Daphnia pulex: one gene and its partner. The protein of the gene in region 1 purifies or fractionates together with the protein of each later gene. This does not show direct contact. Links are inferred from orthologs where the notes say so. Each region holds a gene or a part of one and is shown on either strand. Other genes may lie near its edges.

Evidence for each region. The genes of interacting proteins can lie anywhere in the genome.
Region 2: the proteins of Golgi phosphoprotein 3 homolog sauron-like (region 1) and ras-related protein Rab-1A purify together in Drosophila melanogaster (affinity purification with western blotting; 3 studies listed by BioGRID, with this or other methods). This does not show direct contact. The link is inferred for Daphnia pulex from reciprocal best matches to the Drosophila melanogaster genes sau and Rab1.

What each region holds. Positions count from the first base shown.
Region 1 is NC_060019.1:8,788,686-8,792,439, reverse strand, and holds Golgi phosphoprotein 3 homolog sauron-like, read left to right. Parts: upstream 1-866; 5' UTR 867-1,539; intron 1,540-1,764; 5' UTR 1,765-1,778; coding exon 1,779-1,982; intron 1,983-2,052; coding exon 2,053-2,299; intron 2,300-2,364; coding exon 2,365-2,540; intron 2,541-2,613; coding exon 2,614-2,862; 3' UTR 2,863-3,743; downstream 3,744-3,754. UniProt on the Drosophila melanogaster protein: Phosphatidylinositol-4-phosphate-binding protein that links Golgi membranes to the cytoskeleton and may participate in the tensile force required for vesicle budding from the Golgi.
Region 2 is NC_060025.1:1,302,609-1,306,362, reverse strand, and holds ras-related protein Rab-1A, read right to left. Parts: upstream 2,472-3,754; 5' UTR 2,284-2,471; coding exon 2,270-2,283; intron 1,944-2,269; coding exon 1,871-1,943; intron 1,798-1,870; coding exon 1,750-1,797; intron 1,685-1,749; coding exon 1,637-1,684; intron 1,575-1,636; coding exon 1,347-1,574; intron 1,272-1,346; coding exon 1,071-1,271; 3' UTR 494-1,070; downstream 1-493. Other genes in the region: out at first protein-like, read left to right, coding at 1-21, 88-238; transmembrane protein 179-like, read right to left, coding at 2,876-2,939, 3,014-3,126, 3,187-3,271, 3,332-3,460, 3,521-3,650, 3,722-3,754.

The sequences.
Region 1 (3,754 bases):
CGGAGAACACCAGCTGCCATCTTTCGGCTGCCAACGCCGTTGCTGCTGAGAAGATCGTGACGAAATCCGGATGCGTTTTCACACAAACTCCTCGGCAGTAATTATTATCGGATTAGCTGCCTGCAAGTTGGCTGGCTAGTTAGGTGCCCACGAAAAGTGACCCATTATCGCTCTTACTACTGCAGAGATATGACCAATTTAGTTGCTGGTTTCACCGTTGCTTGAGCCAAATTGTGTTACACAACTTGTAACAAGATAAGCAAAATATTTGCTGACTTTCTACGGATTTTTTAAAAGGATCAGAAAATGGCCAAATATTTACACACATCTTTCGGTTGATATTAGTAGACTAGGCAACGGGGCTACCAGATGTAGAACGTGACTGATTTTTCCGCTTCAACATGTTTACATGTATAGAGTGAATTATTAAGCGCAGGTAAAAATAGGTGCTGATGTAATGCGTCAAACGATCCTGTCATACTGATATACTATTGCGATGTATGGAAATAAATGTTGATTCTTGGAAATCGAGTTTTCATTGCGGAATATAATTACAAATCAATTTTTCATTCGTCGGTAAAAAATTTCGATTTTCTTCCTACACGTCGGATGAAATGGACAAGCGTGTTGTCCATTACAGATTCATTTTTGATTCCCCAATTTAAACTTTGTTAGATTGAACCTGGTATAAGGTCCTGTTACATCCAAATAAGTTTTTTATCTGATTTATCTAGACTTATACCTTTATCTGAATCGAGTTCGAGGCGGATTTCCCCATCGGAATTTTTTAATTGGTAGGTATAAAGCTGCCACCTATCAATTGAAATTGAAACTAGCAAGGAAAACAACTATTTTTCCTTTGATAAAATAAAAATCGTCATTTATGTTTCATCGCAAATATCGGGTCAAATATTGCAACACATTTCTATCTACATTTTCCCATTGACACAAATTAATGTTGTCATAGTTACGATCCGGACGGGAAAGATAATTTTTTTTTAAGGGCTTATGTGTATGAATGTCCAGTGACGGACTGATTGACGAGGGTTATATTTACACAAGATAACAATTCTTTCGAAAGAAAATCGCCTAAACCTTTGCACTACCATAACTGTCATAATTTTCCCGTTTTTTTCTGTGCTTACGTTTACACAATTCACCAAATACGAATCGCGTACCGTGGGAAATACCTTCTGGTTTTTTTCATTTTTGAATTTTTTTACGCCACGTCGCAACTTGCAAGCAGCAGGCTTGTTGCCTTGACGACCAGGCAAAAATCGACGTTTTTACAGAGAGAACCCTACCTGCTTGCCAAAGATTATACGTGTACAAAAGTTCTTCTATACGTGTAAGAAGGCATAGACGAGCCTCCGAATGTCAACAAACTCATCAGCCAGAACGAAGTTACAACTGTAGTGCCCTTTTCATAGTTTAGTTTCCTTCTTCTTGAGTTCTTGAGTTTGTTTTTCGTTGTCTGCGACTGATGAGACGTCGAGCGTATTGCCACAAAGCCAGTATTATTCTTTCACAAGTGCACAGGTCAGATTACCTCCTCTACTTAACAAAGTAGCTCATTACTCTTCAAATAGATACAGTTCAGTTCTTTTGACTAGAATAATTTCCCCAAAAAAAGGATCAAGTCATTATTATTTCATTACATCCAAATGTCAAACTCAAAGTGTATTCATTTGGCATTTAATCATTCATAGTTTGGTGCTTTCTGGAGTGGTTGTTCTCACTTCTCACAGTTCTTTCTGGTTACAGGTTTTGATAGAAAAATGAATCGTGAAGGGGTTGTTCAAAGGAGGACTGCTCGTGTGGGGACTGGTGGCGGAGGACCTGTTGAGATATCGTCAGGTCCAGCTGATGTTGAAGACCGCCGTACAAGTAATGATACAGATGATATGGATGATTTGGATTCCAAAGAAACAAGACTCACCTTGATGGAAGAAGTGTTATTATTGGGCCTCAAAGATAAAGAGGTATACATAATATTTATTGTGTCATACTTGGTCCATTTCCCCCCTAAATTTAATTTTTTTAACTTTACAGGGCTATACTTCATTCTGGAATGATTGCATATCTAGTGGTCTTCGTGGATGCATATTGATTGAGTTAGGCCTACGTGGTAGAGTTGAACTAGAGAAAGGAGGAATGAGGAAACGATCCCTATTGGGGAGAAAAATTCTACTCAAGAATGACTCACCTACTGGAGATGTTCTCCTAGATGAGGCACTCAAGCATGTCAAGGAAACAGATCCCCCTGAGACGGTACAGAATTGGATAGAATACCTCAGTGGTGAGTGTCATTTGTTTAATCCTCCAACTTTAGAATTTTTCATTGATTTTCAAATATTTTTACAGGAGAAACATGGAATCCCTTGAAACTAAGATATCAACTGAAAAACGTCCGGGAACGCCTGGCCAAAAATTTGGTGGAGAAGGGAGTATTAACGACAGAGAAACAGAATTTTCTCTTGTTTGATATGACCACTCATCCTCTCACGGACAATATCATGAAAACTCGTCTTGTCAAAAAGGTGTGACGTCTTCACATTCTCAAAGCCAGCCATATCATTAAACCTTTTGTTCCTTTGACCAAACCATCTACAGGTACAAGAAGCAGTCTTATCCAAGTGGGTAAACGACGCTCATCGAATGGACAAACGCATGCTGTCACTCATCTTCCTGGCTCACGCCTCTGACGTGTTAGAGAATGCCTTTGCCCCATTAAACGACGACGACTACGAGCTGGCCATGAAACGGGTTCGTGAACTCCTCTACCTTGACTTGGACAACGAGAGTGCAAAACCTGGAACCAATGAGTTGATGTGGGCTGTTTTTGCTTCCTTTACCAAATGATAACGTTATTATTGTTACTAATATTGTATTGCTATCCCTTTCGTACACTCCTATCCCTTCCCATATCATTTATTTTTCTTATTTTCTTTGCCTATCCCCTTTCTTTTGATCCTTATTTAGTTTCTTTCTTTTTTTGTTCCGCGTCTCCATTATTTTTCCCGTTTTTTAAGCTACTGGCCATCGAAAAAAATAACCCTACCTTTGTATACCTACATAGCTGCAGCCAGGCTAGATTTTCCAATTCATTCCTTCTTTCAAACCATTTTTCAGTTATTACTAGCCCCTCCTTCTTTTTTTAACAATATTTAGAATATCCTACGAGTGTTATTAATTTTCTCCATTTTGAGTGTGCGTTGGGAAGCCTCGATTTATCTAAAAATCATTTCCAAAATTACCGATCACGCTCACAGTGCACTTGTTTCCTCTTTAATTCAAGTTTTCTTTAAATGGTGAAAGGGAAAATATTCATTTAACGAAACCACTATTATTATTATATAGCGAACTCTCATGATTTAACGTGGGTTGAAACGTGGAGGAAAGTGGGCAGAGGAGAGAGACGTTTTTGTTACAATTCTGGGGAAATCCCGTTGTGGTATGTATTGTAAATATACCTTCCATCGGGAGCGCAGCGCGCCATCTTTAAAAATACAACAATATAAATGAAATGAAAAATATGTAACCTGCAAACTGTGAAATGATTTGCGGATTGCGACCCTCAAAAATTCATTTGGATATGTGTGTTTAACAACTCCCTTTAATCGGCTAATGCTATATATTAGGTACTATATTATGTGGGAGAACGTGTATAACATGTTTTATTTCATTACTGCATGTACACACTATTGGTAGTTTGAATAAAAAAATCAGGAATTCGGATGCAACATGTGGTAGA
Region 2 (3,754 bases), on another chromosome or scaffold:
GTTAAATTTTTGTGTTCCTTGGTAATTGGCTATTTGAAATCGACAGAATAACTTTTTAGTCCTAATTCACCTGCTATTATCACATAGGTATCCTTGTGGACTGAAATTTTGTCGCGGGCACGATCAGCAAACCGGTAAGGCCCTCAGCTATCGGTGCGGCATCAAAACGTGCAAAAAGTGCCTCGACTATTCATTTCCAGTGAAGAACTTTCTATTTTGTCCGTGGGATGACTATTAACCAAACACTTAAAATTCCTTTTCGGGAAAAATTGAAGTATTGATCAAAGTGCCTCGTGAAGCTTTTTAACTATTTTACAAGATAGAATCAAGAGCCAATTGTGCGTGTTCCAGTCTTCCAGCACTGTCCGTTGATGCACACATGTGTACACTTTCCTATCTGCTTTGTAATTTACTTACTTTTCCCCCATGGTTCCTTTTGCGTTGGAGAGAATATTAATTTGAAAAGCCAATTTTACTGCAAAAATAAAAAAAATTTCAATTCAACTCATTGTGTATAATAATCGCAAATTGATACGAAAATGGATCTAAATGGAATGACGAGCAAAAAAAGAAAAAGAAAATCTTTCTTTCACCGAAACTGAAACTTCTCTTTACAATCGATTCTTGCTTAATTTAGTGTTTTCTTTTTAATTAATCCAATATTTCCCCAAAATAACAGCGACAAACAGGCGCGTACAAGCTGTTTACACGAAGAAGGAGGGAGGAGTTGGCATTTTTTAAAAATAGTGATAGAAAAAAATCAACCCTTTCCAGCTGGAAAAAAATATTTCGGACCTAGATCAAACACGACACTATTTAGATTGTTTTTTTTTTTTTTCTTATTCTCTCGTGGGTGCAAGAATAGATACGGTTGGGGTAACAAATCGATCAATGCAGCTTGAGAGAGATAGGAAAAAAGAAAGAAAATTGGTAAATTTTTTTTTTTGTTTAACTTTTAGACTTTGGTTGGAGGCCAAGAAACGGGAAATAGGGAGAAAAGGGGAGGTTGCGAATTTTGTTGTTATTAAACGTTGGATCTCTTGAATTTTTTTTCCTTTTTTCTTAATCCATTAACAACATCCCGATTTCGACTGTTCCACTGGTCTTGAAGAAGAGTTGATGTTGATTCCGCCAACACCATCCGAAGGAGCGGAAGGAGGACCCATTCGATTCTTGATTTCAGCCGCCATAGTCATGAAGGCCTGTTCAACATTCGTAGCATTCTTTGCCGACGTCTCTAGGAAAGGGATACCTAACTGTTCCGCGTATTCCTTTTACAAAATCAAGAGAACGACGTCAAGTTTTAAATGAAATCTAAACCAGCTTCCTACTGTAAGTTATCTCACTTTGGCTGCGGCGTAATCGACGACCTTTTTGGTGCTCAGGTCACATTTGTTACCAACCAAGAGCTTGTTGACGTTTTCGCATGCATAGCGATCGATTTCCTGGAGCCACTGTTTCACATTGTTGAACGACTCTTGGTCAGTACAGTCGTAGACGACAATGATACCATGGGCACCTCGGTAGTAACTCGACGTAATTGTCCTGAATCGTTCTTGGCCAGCAGTGTCCCACTGTAGTCAAGAATATTTTAGTTACATTTGAAAAGGACCAATGCTATGAATGTGTCACTTACGATCTGTAGTTTGATTGTCTTTCCATCCAAATCTATTGTCCGAATTTTCTGCATATTGCAAATCAAATTAACATTATGGACTGAGTCTGACTGGTATGAGTTAATAAACTTACAAAATCAACACCGATGGTACTGATATAACTCTCTGAATAAGTATCATCCTGTATTAAAAGAGAAACATTGAATAGTAAAACAAATATTAATAAAATAAATGACCACCAGTTTCTGACTTACAGCGAATCGGAGCAAAAGGCAAGATTTGCCAACACCAGAATCACCAATAAGGAGAAGTTTGAAAAGATAATCACTGTAAAGAAAAAAGAAAAATAATACTGTTAAACCACTGATGACACCCAACTATTGTAAGCCATTGTTGGTAGGGTGGTATGGGGCATTTCCTTAACAGTGAAATCAGCCTTGAAAACATGTAGACTATAAAAATTTACAGAAATTACATTTTAAGAATTAAAAAAAAATAACCAAGAGCAAACAGCAAGTTGTTTAAAATGGCTGGAATTTGCATGGGATTAGCACTTACGAAAGCCCCCAAAAAGCTATACGTCATCATACTGAATCGTTCGAACGTTGATCTGAACGACGAAAAGGGTTTGGCACTTGTAACGATGTACTTACTATTCGGGGTTCATTTTGGACGTATATGATCACTTAATGTACTCGATCAAAATGAAATTTTGCGCGGAGATGTAATAGTGAACGAGACTGAATTAACGACGGACAGCAGCCCCTTTTTTCTCTGAATATGACGAACAGCAAACTCCTCTACGCCTCCTTGTGTTAAAAGTTGCTTAACCTAAGCAGTTATAATCGATACCATCCACTATCGATATAGAAGATTATAATCGATTTCGGTATGACTTTCACGTCGCTTTTCACGGAAAAATAAAAAATAATTATTTCGTTCACGATATATCAAGCTTCACGTGATCAGGAAAAAATTAAGTCATAATGAACTGTTGGTTGGGCGGACATCATTTGTAGAGGGAAAGAATCAAAGGTATTATTACGAAAAAAAAAGTGATGTTAATGTGATTTATTTCGCTTTTTCTACAATCGGCGGTGCAGCCGGTGCATATGATATAACAACACGTATTATTATTAATTACGTTTTACGTTGCAAGGGGATATATTCTGATACATTTATTGAGAGGTAAAAAGAAGATTCATAAGCCAATACATAGCTTTGCGAAGGAAACGGACAATGTACAAATTATAAACTTTTTAACCGAGCATCGCTTCGTCGCTAGAGCTTCGCGGTGGAAGTCCATCTGTCAACAAACGTCTCCTAAAAGAAAACAACAACAAAAACATCTCTTTTATAAAAAAATTTCCGAACACGATTAAAATTAATTGACATACCGCTCTTTTGCCATGCTGACTCGAATATTTTCTCGTTGGTGATAACGACATAACTTAAGAACTGCACAGACAGCCAATCCCACCCAACATGCCCAGGAGGCCCAAGCTCCAAACTATAAAATCAACTGATTATTATTATTCATCTCTTTAATGAAAATTAAAGGAAAAAAAACCTGTGCAGTTCCCAACAACAAGTAAAATCCAGAGGTGTTGATATTATCCACTTGGTCGATATTTTCATCTTCAGCATAACTGCATCTGTGATTTTATAAAAGTATGTGGTTGATATTTATTGTTATTATGAGACAAACTCTTTACTCTTCAAATCGTTGGGTTATGTCTCCGCACCAAGTGCCAAATCCAAGAGTGATAATCATGGCAGATGCTAAAGAAAGAAAACAGAGAAAGGCACTGCCAACAGCATCAACAAATGCTGACAAGAAAGAGCTGTAAATAATAAAGAGGTATTTTATTGCAAGTATGATGACCATATTTTAAAAGACTAACCTGTCAAGCCCTCTATAAAGGAAATGGCCAAGTCTGTGAATTTGAATACAACAAGCTGTAAGTGAGATCACTCCAGATATTATAACAAACACACAGTAAGCATTAGGAGCCCATGTGATCACAAACTGGCCTGCAATTCAATTCAAAACAAAAATCATTATAGTTTTGAATTTTTCGCTAATTACATTATTTAAGTTCAACCATCAGTTTCCCTCCAAGTTCCTCTGGAAAACA